2 linked regions of the Rattus norvegicus genome follow. The protein of the gene in region 2 purifies or fractionates together with the protein of the main gene of each other region. This does not show direct contact. Links are inferred from orthologs where the notes say so. Each region holds a gene or a part of one and is shown on either strand. Other genes may lie near its edges.

Region 1 (7,891 bases), on a different chromosome or scaffold from region 2:
ATAAGAATTTGAGGTCTAACTGTTAACTAATACTATAAGAGATGGAGAGATGACCCAGCAGTTAAGAGCACATGTCCTAGCATCTACGTCTGCCATCTTGTAACAGCCTGTAAATCCAGCTTGAGGGGATCAGATATCCCTCTTCTGCTCTCCATGTGGATGTGCATATATGTGGCACGCAAATGCATTCACATACACATGTAGTAGCAATAGCAGCAGCAGAAGTAAGAACAAAAAAACACTGAGAGGCAGGTATGGTGGCACGTGCTTATACTAATAGTGGAGGAGCTGAAGCTAAAGGATTCTGAATTTAAAGCCAGCCTAGGCTAAACAGTGATGCCTCATCTCAAAAGCAAGCAAGCAAGAAAGCAAACGAAAAAGCTTGCTTGAAAAGGAAAACAAAGTTAACTAAATAAAACAAAAATTTATCAGGCTTAGTAAAAAAATTAAAGGCTGACATTATAGGCATAGTAGTATCTTATTCCAAATTAGCAGAATCATCGTCAGGAATATGAGGGAAATCCCTCATAGGTATAGTCCCTTTTGTTATTTCTATTGAAATGAAAGTGGAGTCAGAAGGTTTTGTAGATAAAGTGTGACAAGTGTCCTCAGAAGATAGTGTACATTCTTAGTATTGAGCAGGTCTTCCCTTGGGTGAGTAAGCTCAGGAGGTCCACTCAAAGAGCCTCCCACCTCCTCCACCATGTAAGACAAGCTACTACTCCTCATAGCTTGTGTCTTTTACACTGTTACAGTGTCACTATGAATGAAGAGATAGAATTAGATCAAATGTCACTCCAGCCTACAAGCTGCAACTCACTGGGGAATGGGCACACCTCTGACTGTCCCTGGGCACAGTGAGAAATACTGATCCTGTAGATAGAGAATGACACAGGCCAATAGGTCGTGTGTGTGTGCATGTGTGCATGTGCGTGCTGCATCGGACTGCAGCCAGTACACGTTGGAGAAAGGCCAGCCTTTCCCAGAACTCACCCCAGCACCACGCTCAGCTCTTTCACGTGCACACGTGTGTGTCCCCGGAGATACTCTGAAAGCATTTTACTTTTGAGGTACATCTCCTGTAGTCTGTCTTCCAGATGCATGATGCACTGCAAAGCCAACAGCATTCACAATGAGGACTACAACTGCAGCATCCGCCAGGGTCAGAGCGGGGCTTCTCTTTAGTTAGTTCTACAAACACAGCTGTAATTGCCCCCCTTTCGATTTAACCCCCAAAACTACCAGCTTGAGTTTTTCATAAAATAGCTATTAACATTGTTATATGGTATCATTCTAGTATCTTTAAAAGAAAACATTTCACAGAAGTTAAATCATTCCATAAGCATGAACATTCCTGTTTTTTGGCTTTTAAGTTGTCAACTCTCTTTCCGTGGAACCAGTCTTATGGTCAATACCGTCGTCAATGTTAAGTCTCTTGAGCACCACATTCCTCCTTAAGTGTATCAAAACCCTACTGAGCAGTGAGTTGCAAAAGTGGATTTTTGCACTCGTCCTTTATGCCTCTGTTCACAAAATTTCTTGTCATTAAGAAACTTAGCAATAATCTCATATTTAAGAGTTCCTTACTGTGCCATGTTTATGGCCAATGCTCTAGAGAACGTTAACTTACCATTATTTACTTAGCCATGGGGAAATCTACATTTGGGGTATAATTTTGTGGAAAATGTTTTAGTTCTTGTTTTCTTCCTACACCTCAGACTGTTCTGGCATAATACATTCCCAAAAGCAGAATGATTGGAACAATGTCCCTCACTTTTATTTTGGTATCGAGAGTATCCTTTAACTAAGTCTTTAGTAGCAATAGGAGAGACATGATTTGGGGGATGTCTTCACCCTTGGGATGGTGTCCAGCCTCAGTGGTTAGAGAACTGCAGTCATCTACATCTCTCACCGGCAGCAAATGCTTCTGCACTTGGCAGGCAGCTGTCTAAGTGTCTCTGGGAGATACTCGAAGGCTTTGGCAGGGTAATTCCATCATGCATAATTTCCTTCTGGACCATCAGTCCTCTCATTTTCAAGGTAAAAGGATTAACAGATGCATTTGAAAATGTTGATCCTGACCATCTGGGCTGATCAACATCAGGGCAGACAAAGTGTCTGTGAGACAAGGGCACTTTCAGTGTTTCACTGGTTAGCATCTTAGGTACTGTGCTAGGGACAAGCCCAACAGCATGTAAGCACTACTCAAGTTGAAGGGATACCACCGATCTCAGAAATGGTCCCTTAAATGAGCATAGGGAAGTAGCAGAGGAATTTTTCTACCAACTTTTGGTTCGCTATGGAATAAAGTTGTAAGTGTTTAATAAGAGTTACAAGATACACAACAAGAACATTCAAATTATAGTGACTTCTTAAGTCTTAAAGTGGTTTATGTATAGCGTTCTTAGTCTACAGAAAAAGTATATGATGCAATGTGGGTCTAGGACTGTATACTAAATGAAAAAAAAACCACATTTACAAAAAAATAGTTTAAAGCTTCATAATCAAATAGAGTTATGTTGAGTAGTTTTCCCTTCTTTGTAAGATTTTATTCCTGAGATGCAATGTAATTTTCAACTTCTATTCTTTTTTTTTTTTTTTCCGGAGCTGGGGACCGAACCCAGGGCCTTGCGCTTGCTAGGCAAGCGCTCTACCACTGAGCTAAATCCCCAACCCAATTTTCAACTTCTAAAACTTAGCTATTTTTTTCCTTTCATATGTAAGCAGTGCTTAGATGGAACTCTTCTGGATTTTGGTTTTCCCAGGTTAAGTAAGTCATCCATGTATTACCAAGTGGCCATGTATGTTTCTACCAAATGAAGCAAAAGGAATGTTCTGTAAATTATTGCTTTGATAGCTAAGATGTCAGACAATGAGAACCATGTCTTAGACAATCCAATGACAGCATCTGTAAAGACAGTAACACCACCACAGGGTCTAATATCTCCTCCTTCCCTTACAGAAAAGGAAATTCAAGTCTCAAAATCAGGACAGATCAAAACACTTCTAGGATAAAGTGAGATCATAATAACGCTGAGTGGTGCTCCTGACGCCCCTTGGACCCACAGTCTGCAGAGCACGCTTCAGCTAAGAGCCAAATAAAGATTGTTATGAAAGGCGTTGCCAGTTCTTACACCTTCGATACTGCTGAACTGTCACCAAGACATGCCAATCAGACTGACTTACTGGTGGCTTGTAAAATCTGCCATGATTCCAAGTGCTTCGTATGAATTAACTACTTTTCCTAAGCTCATGAAGCACACTCGTACGTTTATTCACTCTTTCAGATGTACAGATAAGCTGAGGCTCTGGGAGGTTATGCAGCACAGAAGTAGAACTTGGAGTTGGCTGTCATGACCACCCTTTGACTGTGAATATATATGCAAGTGAGTTTTAAAGCTACCTGTGCTGGTGTGGTACTTTGACACTTTTGGAAAAAAAAAAAAAAAGCAGCGCTTCCTCTCTGGCCCTCAGAGCATCCTTACAGCATATCTGTAACATCTTCATGATGCAAACAAGAAACCTAAGCTTCAAAGACACTCAGAATCATCCGCCACACAAGTGAAATCCAGGGATGCTGCAAGGTTTTCCTGACCTGCTACAGTATGACAGTGTCCATACCCATCTTTAGAAAGCCCACACCAAAGTCCTGACTGTGTGCAAAATGGTGCAACTGAGGACCCCACCGTAAGAATTTAGGTGACCAGTGAAGTGGCAGTCAGTGTATTAACGGATACTCAGCTTCCTGTTTTGCTGTTAAATAATTCTGTGCTATTTCCTGAGGCCAGGAGGAAGGTGGAAGCTTTGAGCTCAGGCTGTGCTGCAGAAAGCAATCCTGCACTGATGGAAGGAAAGCAGAAAGGCAGGCACTTGCAAGTGCATCCCTATGGCCACTGTCCCTAAGCTGCCAGTTATGTGCCTTTCATTCCTCCCCTTCACAAACCTCTCTCTCTCATTCCCTAAACAGACTTTCAACCTCTCTGCACACATACCACATATCAAAAGAAATTTGTTAAATCTATCCCACAGACTAGGGAGGAACTGCAAATAATTTTCTAGGACTTTCTAGGCTGTTCTTCATTTCTATTTAAAATGTTACAAAAGTGATTATCAAATCCCACTTGGAAAGGAACAGCTGACACCATGTTCTAAGTTCTTACACAGAACTTCCAAATTTGAAGTGCTTCCATTCACCTGCAATGGACTGGGAGGGTGCTCACAGAACAGAAGAAACTACACTCCCTTCAGAAACTGGCTGGTCTCGGACCCGTCTAGACGCTCTCCAAGGAGGACTCTGATTGCTTTTTAGGCTCTGTTCCCTTTATCTACTTTACTATCTGCTTTGTACAGAAGGCACTGTCCTCTGCTCCGTCCGGTCCTGTGCCCGGTCTGCAGGTCTGATGCTGCATGCTCCATTTTTCTTTAACGCTAACCTTCAATATATTAAAAATGATGTGTCCGAACTTGTGATTTTTATAATCAGAATACTGAATAAAAGCCATTTTCCAGCTATATGATTACTGATGGCAGAAGACCAAATACTTACAAAATCAGCGGGGAGGTGAAGCTTATGGAGCTGTAAGATGGACTGGAGTAAACTGGACACCTGATTAGAGACCAGGACATCCTGGCCCAGCTTCATGGCGTCCGTCACTTTCCTCTGACTTGTGGCCACCTGGACAGTCCACTTGTCAGTGTCTGCAATGATGCAGACGGCTTCGGCTATGGGCTCATCGAGCACTGGGTGCTGAAAGAGAGAGACGGTGGATTGGCATTCTCAGCTCGGAATGGATAGAGTGCTGTCTGAGATTACAGGATGAAGGTGCGAACTGCAGAAGCCTGGAACTTGACAGGTACTCAGAGAGGTGTGCTGCTGAAGCAGCGCTTAAATCCAAGTTCAGTGCCTGAGAAGGACACGCTCAAGTTGTCCTGACCTACAAATGTGCTGTGGTATACATGTACACACACACACACACACACACACACACACACACACACACACACACACACACACACCTTTAAAAACAAACAAAAAAATATCAGAAGGTGGACAGATAACCTGAGGAATACACCCAAGGGTGACCTCTGGCCTCCATATACACAGACATGTATGTGTACACATGTGTACACACAATACTACCACCACCAGCACCAATTCCTTAAAGTTACAGCTTTAATTGTTAAACAAAGTTTCTTTAGTAACTGTGGTTATGCATACCAATAATTTCTAATAATCAATTATAATGAGGCTGAGAACTTATTGATCCAGATGAATCTAAAAGGTTAAAGTCTGGCTGCTGAGTATTTTTTCTTAAAAATACTTCATAATAAACTGTATCATAAGGTATAAACGTCTGTAATGATGAATCTCAGCTGTCAAGTGAGACTTAGAGCATGCTTATAAAGGACTGTCTTGACTGGGATATTTTAGGTGGGAAGATTGGCTCATGATGGGTGGCACCATTCCCTAGGCTGGGACCTGGGCTCTATATAGGAGGAAGTGAAGAGTACACACGTTCATTACTCTCTCCTGCTTGTCCACAGATGCAGTGTGACCAGCTGTACCCAGGCTCCTGCTGCAGTGACAGACTATGACCTCAAACAGTGAGCCAAAGTGAACCCTTCTGTTCTACGCTGGTTTTGTCAGGGTATTTTATCACAGTAACAGAAAATAAACACAAAGTAAGATAACCTTGAAATAACAGAGAAAATGGCCTCCTAAACATCTCATCTCTCAATTGGGCTTCTGCTCTACCTGTAGTTGCTCTGAACTCATTGCCTTCCTGTAGCAACCCACAAGAGATCCAGAGATCCGAGATGGAAACTGTAGTTCTGTAGGTGTTAAATAGCTGAGCTAGTGATTCATATATGTGACAAGTTAGTAGCAGGAGCTGGTGGTAAAATAGTAAAAGCTCCCTTGGGATGGTCTGCATCCAAGCCCAAAGCCTCAAGTCTTGCACGTGCTCCACGGGTGGTATGGACAGCAGCATGTTATAGGAGCACTGAGACCTGATATCTATCCACATGCTACGGGAGGCTTTTTTACCAGTCAGCAGCTTGCTTTTCTCATCTGGAATACTACTCCTAGTTTCTGGGAGATAATTTTGACATTGTTAATATTCTATCCTTAAATCTTCAGAAAGGCTGTTTTTCTGATTAATTTTCTTAATGCCTGACTTTTAAAACTGATCTCGAAATTTGGGAGTACAGATATGAATAATATGTAGGTGTGATGTTTTATAACAGAATGATTACATTTAATTTTATCAAATTGATTGTTTTGCTATGAAGAAACTTTATTAAAAATAGTAGTCATAATGTTAGAGTATAAAATCTTCCTAGCCTTATGCAAGTGTCCCATGGGTCATATGGCTGATAAGTATCCATCATTTTATGTTGGAAGGGTACTGGTGTGCTATTTGGAAGTTTGCCTTTTATACTCCTTTGAACGTCATTTTGTCTTATTTATTGATGTAATTTACACGTTACAATTCACTCACTATATATGTAAACTGGATGAGCTTAACAAATATATATACATATATATACATATACACACACACACTTGTGCACCCACTATCAAAATCATGTATTAAAATTTTGCAGGACCACAGAAATTCAAGTTCCTTTGTAGTCAGACCTCTCTAGTGAGTCATCCCAGCAACAACTAATACTACGCCTCCTAGAACTGAAGTGGACATTTCTGGTTTCTTTAACAACTCAGTCGTCTCACATGATGCTTTCCTGGAAGCTGTCTTGTAAAAGGGCTGAACACAGACATTTGAGAGGGTGCACGATGTTTAGAAAGAAGATAAATGGAACCCCACAAACAGCGGGAGGACGCTCTTGTGTTGCTATGCCATGCAACGCTTCCCTAGCTGATCTTTGCTGGTGTTCACTTCATAGAGAGAAATGTGCCATAGAACTTCTCATGGTATTCCTGCTGATTCTGGCCATTCCATGACTTGTACCTAAATGGTGGAGCCGCGCTGTTTCTGCTAGATCAAGCCACCTCAACTGATTCACCTGGTGCTTGCTATTGCTTGGTATCCCGACAACAATGAGTGGAACCACCCCAAGGAACTACTTCTAAACAGGTCCACAACACCCTTTTCCTATCAACCTTTTTTTCCCTACCTATGGTCAGTGGGTTAGGAGGGAGGTTGAAACGTTTAAGAACCCTAAATAAAGTAGGTTTTGAAAAATCTAAGCCTACATAGAACTATTGTTCTGACTTTTGTAGAATTTCATATAAATACGATCACATGGTCCATAATCTTTTGTGTCTGGCTTCTTTTAAGATATAGCTGTAATTATTGCATTTTAGTGCCTTATTCGTATTTTTGAGTACCCTCTTGTAAGAGTATAGCACGACTCATTTATCCAGAGATGGCACGGCTATATTGCTGTTGTGGAAGACCTGGGTTCAGGTCCCAGAACCTTCATAGCAGTTCATAATTGTCTGTAACTCCAGTTCTAGGAAATCTGCCATTTTCTGTATAGACCAGCCATGCATGTGGTACATATGCCTAAATGTAGACAAACACACTCATATATATAAAATAAAAAATAAGTTGAGAAAGAGGAGAGAGGGGAAAGAGGAGAGGGACGGGGGAAGGGAGAGAGAAAAGGGAGGAAGGGGAGCAAGAAGGGAAGGGAGAGGGAGAGAGAAAGGGAGAAGGAGATGAAGAGAGATTGTTTCACATGTTTGGCCACTACAAACAGAACAGGAGGACTGGAGAAATGGCTCTGAGGTTAAGAACACTGGCTGCTCTTTCAGAGGTCCCGAGTTCAGTCCCCAGCAACCCTGTGGTGGCTCATGATCTCATAATGAGATCTGGTGCCCTCTTCTGGTCTGCATGTGTACATGGATGCAGAACACTGTTTACAT
Region 2 (7,891 bases):
CTGATGGTAGTGCCATCTCAAAGGAGGCAGCCAGAGACGACCAGGGCACAGCTGTCCGTCACCAGCTACCTGTGTGACGAGTGCTGAGCTCCAACTTTGCGCTCGTCTGATGGGCCATATCTTGGCCTATTCTTCCCGGGGACAAGGACCTAGGAAGAAAGTGTCCTCTTGCCTGTATTTAGAGACTTAAATAGTTGCATACTCCTTGAGTAGGATTCTCCTAAGGAGCCCGGGCGTTGTTGTTGTTGTTGTTTATGGAAATGCCCCGGAACCCACACAGTTCAGATGAAGCCCTGTGTGAACGGCGGTCCTGAGTTTTGCTCTAGTTTAAAATCTTGAGTTGTCCCATGTGACTGGATATGGTGGGTGTGAAGACCCTAACCCGTCCTTCCAGACCTTTTTCCAGCCAGCCAGTATGGTCTGCAGTGTCCATGGGTCAGGTATGCAGCTTTGGCCGTCCCCACCTCTGCCTTTGCCACCTCTGCTGTCAGAACCCCTAGGACATTCTGGCCTTTAACACCTTTTCTGGTTAGCTGTAAAGCAGAGAACAAATGCCCCTCGGCCACCCAACCGTGCCGCAGCTGCCTGCAGGCTGCCATATCATTTCGTCAGGTGGAGAAGCGGGGCTTCCCAGACACCACAGCCCTTTCAGGTTCACCCTGTCTCTTCCACTGGAGCACCATTCCCCACTCTTTCCTCTCTCCTCTAGAAATCACATGACTTCCAGTGACCTTCCTGTGGCTCTGCAGGTGGTCAGTTTTGGGTGGTTTTGTTTGGTTTTTGTTTTAGACAGGGTTTTACTCTGGCTAGCCCAGAATTTGCTTTGTAAACTACACTGGCCTCTGCCTCTGTGGCAATGCTGGGATCACCGGTGTGCCACCATGCCTGCCTACGCCTTTTTAAAAACTCATGATGTGATAAAACTCATGACGCAGCATTTAACTCTCTCCCTCACACCATCCACCTCAGCTCCACTGTCTTCCCAGCTGACACCGTCTCTATCAGACTCTGGTCACCTCGCTGGGGTCAGGTCCGGCTCCCCAGATCTCTCCAGTGGGTTAGCCAGAGCGTATCCTGCATGTGCCTGGTTTCATTCTGTCCGAGATACAGCGGTTTGTAGGATTGCCTGACTCTCAAGGCTGAGTGACACCCATTCTCCCCTTACTAAAGCTCTTATTGGTCCAGCAGGATGGCTTAGGTGGCTCTTTGGTCACCTGCTCTGGAGGGCCCTGTGATCTGTGGAAGCCACATGGTCCCTGTTTGAGGCCCTGGCTGCCCCATTCAGTTCCACTCGAAGCTAAAAAATGTCTGCAAACCCCACCCCAGCATCCGCTCCGCCCCGCCCCTTTGTTTTCCCCATCTCCATCTTCATTATCCACATTCTCTCCTCCCTCTAGTTGAGTCCGCCTACTCATTTTGGAAACTCTGGCACTGTTTGGCCTCCCCACCTGTCACCGTCACCCACCAGTGCCCCATCGTTCTTCAGTGGGCAGTGGGGCTGTCATCTGGCACCTTCTGCTCCTCAGCAAAGCCCTCAGAGCTGGTTTGCCTTCATCAGAACCCTGGGAACCTTGCCATTTCTAGAACAAACGGGGGCCTGGCTGTGGCCACAGAGTTCAAGAGGTCCGCCTCTGCCCTCAGGTCTGCCCATCTCTGAACCCACTCAGGCCCCCCCATCTCTGAACCCACTCAGGCCCCACCCACCTGCTTGGCCCACCCACGGCTCCACCCAGACCTGTGCAGCCAACCCCACCTCTGGTCCTACTCCCCTCAGAGTCCCCTGTATGTGCTGCAGAGCTGTGTTCCAAGTCTCCCCATGCAGAAAGATGTTCATCTCTGTAGGTGCCCCCCACCCCGACCCCAAGCACCCCAGCATTCAAACCTTGCCTTGCAGGTGTGGGAGATGATGAAGGCTGCTGACCCTCCTTGGTGCCTGTCCTGTCTGTGTCCATCTATCCGTCCATCCATTTGCTCTTCTCCCCCTCCCCCGTGTCTTTCCTGCCCTTGATGTAGCAACTGTTACGCAGCGAGTGCCCATTGGTGCTGGCAGGTGCGGACACCCTGTCAGAGCCCTTGGCCTGATTCCGTAGCATGGATGGGGCAGGCCCACAGATGCCGTCCTTCCCTACAGGCCTCGGCCATTCTCCAGCACCATGAACGCCATTGTGGCTCTCTGCCACTTCTGCGAGCTCCATGGCCCCCGCACGCTCTTCTGCACGGAGGTTCTACACGCTCCCCTGCCCCAGGGTGCCGGAAGTGGGGACAGTCCTGGCCAGGTTGAGCAGGCTGAGGAAGAAGAGGGCGGCATCCAGATGAGCAGCCGAGTCCGTGCCCACAGCCCAGCCGAGGGCGCCAGCACTGACTCCAGCAGCCCGGGGCCCAAGAAGTCAGACATGTGCGAGGCAAGTGCCCTTTGGGACCGTGAGCTGGTTTTAGCCTTTCTGTGAGAGGTGGGCTGTAGTGGGAGCCTGGGAAACCTCCAAGGTCCTGAGAACATTTTTCTCACCACCCCAGCATGAGCCCTTTTAACCTAGTCAGTGCAGAGGCCGGTCTAGTCTACAGAGAGAGTTCCAGGACAGTCAGGGATGCACAGAGAACCCCTGTCTCGGGGGGAAGAAAACCACACATCATTACACATACTTAAAGGAAGTCGTACCAACTAGAGATAATGTTTCTCCAGAAAAAAGCAAGTTTCTTTTCTTTCTTTCTTTCTTTTTTTCTTTTTTTTTTTTTGTTGTCGTTGTTGATTTTGGTTTTGGTTTTTCTGAGACTGGGGTTTTCAGTGTAGCCCTGGCTGTCCTGGCACTTTACTCTTTAGACCAGGCTGGCCTCAAACTCACAGAGATCCTCCTTCCTCTGCCTCCCTAGTGCTGAGATTAAAGGTGTGCACCACCACTGCCCAGCAAGAAGATGATTTTTAAAAAGTTTTAAAAATTTAAAAAGGATTGTGTTTTCTATATTTAGATATGTTGCCTGCTCCTAGCCAAGAGATTTATTTATTTATTTATTTATTTATTTATTTTGTCGTCCTTTGTGTGCAGGGCTGCCGCTCGCTTGCTGTAGGGCACCCAGGTTATATCAGTCATGATAAGGAGACCTCTATCAAGTACGTCAGCCACCAGCACCCCAACCACCCACAGCTCTTCAGCATTGTCCGCCAGGCCTGTGTCCGCAGCCTGAGCTGTGAGGTAAGGCCAGCGGCAGGCTATCCGCGGGAGACGTGCACGGGGACAGATAGGTTCATTGCTGTTTACCAACACAGGGGGCCTTGCTTGTCAGTGCTGTGTGAGCATGGAAGCAGTCGTTAGAGCCTGAAGAGTAAGTCCCTGTGGACTCGGGCTGTCTACATAGGGGTTGGCATTTCACTTCGAACAACAGACTGGTTTTTCTAGTCCATTCTTGATGGGCAAGTCTCTGAGATGGGACGGTCCCTAGGCAGTGTCACCTTTACATTGTATCAACATGCCATGGTGGAATGCTTAGAACCTTCCAAAGAATGCATCCGGCTGCAGGGCTGGCTCAGTGGTGAAGAGGTCCTAAGTTCAATCCCAGCAACCACATGTTGGCTCACAACTGTCCATAGCTCAGTCCCAGGGGACCTCACACCTTCTTCTGGCCTCCATGGCCACTGCACGCACGTGGGATAGACATATATGCCGGCAAACAGAGCAGAGAAGAAAAATAAAGGTTTAACAACAAACAAGAATGTTTGCCCCTGAGCTTCTGCTGTGGGGCCCGAGTCTCAGCTTCTAGGTCTGATCTGTCCCACAGGCATATATGGCCCCTATCTCCACCTTGTAGGATCCCTGGGCGCCATGGTGCTTGTTCTCAGTGTGCTCTATACCTCCGTCTCCTGCTGTACGCTCAGCAGCACCAGATGCCCTGTGCACAGTAGTCACAGGTCCAGCAAATTTGTCAGGAGGGAGAGACCAAAGGACTCTCTAAAAATAGGGTGTGCTATGGGCTGGAGATAGCTCAACAGCTACGATTCTGTGCTACTGATACGGATGATCTCAGTTTAGTTCCTAATATCCACCCACGCTGGGTAGCTTACAGCCTCCCATGACTCCAAATCCAGGGGATCCAGCACCTTTGGCCTCTGCAAGCACCTGTACTCGTGTTTACACCACCCCCTCCTCCAACCCTACACACCACATTCCCATGATTTAAAGACCAGAAGTAGCCATTGCTTCTGCTGGCTCTCCAGTCTGCCCATCAAGAGCAAGTTGTAACATTTGGTGCCATTCATTGATAGGACACTGGCCTGCTCTGTTCCAGCCAGGCCCTGAGTCCTAACCCCAGCACCACCAAAAACAGGAAAAGAGGGCCTGGAGAGATGGTTCAGTGGTTAAGAGCACTTACTGCTCTTCCAGAGTCCTGAGTTCAAATCCCAGCAACCCCATGGTGGCTCACAACCATCTGTAATGAGATCTGATGTCCTCTTCTGGTGTGTCTGAAGACAGCTACATACAGTATATATATACTTATATATAATAAATAAATCTTTAAAAAGTCTTTAAAACAATAACAGAAACAGGAAAAGAGGCCCACGAGGCTTGAGGTAAAGTCAGGACTTCCCCTAAAGTTACTGTGGCTCCCTCCAAGGTGTGCCCTGGTCGTGAAGGCCCCATCTTCTTTGGTGATGAGCAACATGGCTTTGTGTTCAGCCACACCTTCTTCATCAAAGACAGCCTGGCCAGAGGCTTCCAGCGCTGGTACAGCATCATCGCCATCATGATGGATCGGATCTACCTCATCAACTCCTGGCCCTTCCTGCTGGGCAAGATCCGCGGGATCATCAGCGAGCTCCAGGGCAAGGCCCTCAAGGTGATGCTCAAGGCGGGGCTGTGGCCGTTTGGCATGGATGCTGGGTGCCCGGGCAGCAGTGGTCCTCCTGGCTCTGCCTCTGCTTTGGGCCCACGCTTCAGTGCGGTGATGTCCCGGGCGACCCTCCCAGCCAGCCTGTAACTCTCCTGGTTTCATCCTGGTCTTGAATTCAGAGACCCGCCTGCCTCTGCCTCCTGAGTGCTGGGATTAAAGGCAATCACCCCCGCCACAGCTGTCCTAACTGCTATTCAACCTCTGACTTCTTGCCCAGTACCTTTACTTCCTGTACCCTTCACAACCCAAACTGCCTGCTACTCTTATCTAGACCCCACCTAGGGCACCCCCTCCAGCTGCAGAAGAGCACACAGGCAGGCATGGCCATGCTTTGGTCACAGACCTTTAGACTCAGTGGCCCATTTCTCATTTGTGCTCTGTCCTTGGGCAGTAGAGGAGGAGGCTGTTCATCCTTCGTCCTGATAGGTGGAGTGGCTGGACTGTATTAGAATGTGGCTGGAAGGCATAGGAGCCTCCTATAAGGAGTTAGTCCTGTGTCTGTCACCTGCAAGGGTCTGTGAAATGAACCTGAGTACTTGAAGAACGGTGACTATCCAGTGGAGTCCAAGGAGCCAAGTAGGGGTAGAGAGGAACACACAGAACCCCCTGGGTCAGCAGAACCATTCTGTGAGGCATTGCCAGACTGCTGGCATGGACCGTGTTCTGAGTCAGGAACACAGAGTGGGAGAATCTGGGAAGTGGGGTGGCAGTAACTGAAAGGTTCGGTGGTAGCCATCCCTGAAGAGGCCCTCTTCTCCACCCTTTGTATTCAGGTGTTTGAGGCAGAACAGTTTGGATGTCCACAGCGTGCCCAGAGGATGAACACTGCCTTCACACCCTTCCTGCACCAGAGGAACGGCAACGCTGCCCGCTCTCTGACCTCCTTGACCAGTGATGACAACTTGTGGGCCTGTCTGCATACTTCCTTTGCCTGGTAATGAATCCTGGGTCTCGGCATCTGTGAGCCATTAGAACAATGCAAAGTCACCCATCTGCCTCCTGGTGGGGTTGGCTTGTGTACCTCTGTGGGTCTGCTGCAACCCAGAGAGGTCTCTGTCTCCCCACTGGATGGAAACCCTGTGAGGTAGAACTCATTTTTGCACTGACACAAGTGGGAAGACCACCAAGTCTCCTCTCTGAAGATGGCAGCAGGTTTCTAGCTCAGGCCTCTCCCGAGCCGGTAGCTGGTGCTTTGGGCTGAGGCCTGGGAGTTTTTGCCGGTGGGGAGCAGTCAGCTGGTGTCTGGGGTGAAGGTCTGGTGTATGGGTGCCCTATGAAAAGGGAGCTCCTGACCCTCCACTGAGTAGTCCAGGAAAACGGAACATGTAGAGCCTTAGCACCTGAGTGTAGCAGGGACATTCTGCTCCTTCTGGAGTTTGTTTGTCAGCCGATGGGCATGTAGGCTGGGCCTGTTCCTTGGCCATTGTGAATAGAGCAGCAGTAAACAGGAGTATTTAAGGATCTCCGCTGTGGTCGCTTGAAGTCCTTCAGGTCATGCCCGGGAATGGCGTATCGGGTATGGATTTGGAGGCTTCTCCCCACTAAGACAGGAAAACAGAGTTGGGTCCTGTGGAACTGCAGTTACAGATGGTTGAGAACCACGGAGTCAGTGCTGGGAGCTCACCCCATTCCCCGGTGAGAGCAGCAGATGCTGTTAACTGCTGAGCTGTCTCTTTAGCCCCTGTCCTGGGTTTTCCTGCTGAGAGGAATTCTAACTGATGTGAAAGGGGATGTCTAAGTAGTTTGAATTTCTGTTTCCCTGATAGTTAAGGATATTGAATACCTTTTCACATACTCATTGGCCATTTGTAACTTCTTCCTTTGAGAATGGTCTAGAATGTTTTTGGTTTTTACACCTATTATGTAGCCGTGAGAACATTACCTCACTTAGCAGAACTAAAGATTGTCTGGGGTACAACTTAGGTTCCCTTCATCTCGAAGGTGACTTCTGAATTGGGATTAAAACCAACAGTTCCTTCAAACATCCCATACTCTATTTTTCTCATCCCCTCTGAAGAAGGACCAAACTCATGTCTTACGGAATGTTTCCTCAGTGATGGGGGCTGGGGTGTTGGAGGGCGGTCTTTGAGTATGCTTATGTAGGCCATCTTCTGTGAGCTGGGGTTTGAACCTAGGGCTTAATAAGCCTCAGGTTCAGTTTTCCCATTGGCAGGGTACCTCATGACTGGTATTGCATTTTTCTCCAGGCTCCTGAAGGCATGTGGTAGCCGGCTGACAGAAAAGCTCTTAGAGGGTGCTCCCACAGAGGACACCCTGGTCCAGATGGAGAAGCTTGCTGGTAAGTCTGTTTTGTTTTCTGGGCTGTCTATAGTGGCAGCAACACCCCTGGCTTGTGGCTGCCATAATGAGTGGAGCTGGTACAAGGGAGTCTGGATGTGAATAAGCATGATAGGCCTTTGTGACAGCCACTCCCATGCCCTTGTTGATGTTATGATTCCGACTCATCTTCCTCGATGGTGCCTATTCTCAAGTAGGTTGGGGATTCTTAGAGAGTTCCCTGAAGGCAGCTCCACTGGGCAATCTCGAGGTGGCTCTGCTTGCCAAAGTTTCCTCTAGGTAGCTCAGCTGGTTTCCTCCTCAGCAATTGTTTTTTGCTTCTGTAACCTTGAAGAGAACCCTTGTGAATCTTGTTAGTTTCAGGAACTTCCTGAGACTTGTATCTCATAAGCCTCTCCTTAGAGGGAATGTTTTAGTTCAGAGGAAATCACTGTTCAACATCATCCCTACATCCATGGTCTGGTTCTCATTGTGACATTCAGCAGAGGTTGTCCGTGTGAAGGGAGATGGGGTGAAATGGTGTGTGGAGCACAGGGCTGTTTCAGCAGTTGAGTGGGATTAGCATCTTCCAGGAAGAGCTTCTAAGATGCGTCTTCAGCCCAAGTCTTCCTCCCTTCACCCCAGATTCCTAGTCAGTAGCAGAGTCATCGGGCCTCTCTGGGATACAATAGGAATTAGTAGTGTAGCTGTAGGTGCCCCAAAGCAGAAATGG

The links.
Region 1: the proteins of Flcn (region 2) and Fnip2 purify together in Homo sapiens (affinity purification with western blotting; 5 studies listed by BioGRID and IntAct, with this or other methods). This does not show direct contact. The link is inferred for Rattus norvegicus from reciprocal best matches to the Homo sapiens genes FLCN and FNIP2.

Annotation. Positions count from the first base shown.
Region 1 is NC_086020.1:166,899,433-166,907,323, forward strand, and holds part of Fnip2 (folliculin-interacting protein 2), read right to left. Parts: intron 4,748-7,891; coding exon 4,547-4,747; intron 3,117-4,546; exon of another isoform or gene 3,011-3,116; coding exon of another isoform or gene 2,963-3,010; intron 1,110-2,962; coding exon 994-1,109; intron 1-993.
Region 2 is NC_086028.1:45,095,135-45,103,025, reverse strand, and holds part of Flcn (folliculin), read left to right. Parts: intron 1-1,397; exon of another isoform or gene 1,398-1,641; intron 1,642-1,894; exon of another isoform or gene 1,895-2,131; 5' UTR 2,132-2,153; coding exon 2,154-2,402; intron 2,403-3,041; coding exon 3,042-3,188; intron 3,189-4,605; coding exon 4,606-4,827; intron 4,828-5,654; coding exon 5,655-5,815; intron 5,816-7,088; coding exon 7,089-7,180; intron 7,181-7,891. UniProt on the Homo sapiens protein: Multi-functional protein, involved in both the cellular response to amino acid availability and in the regulation of glycolysis.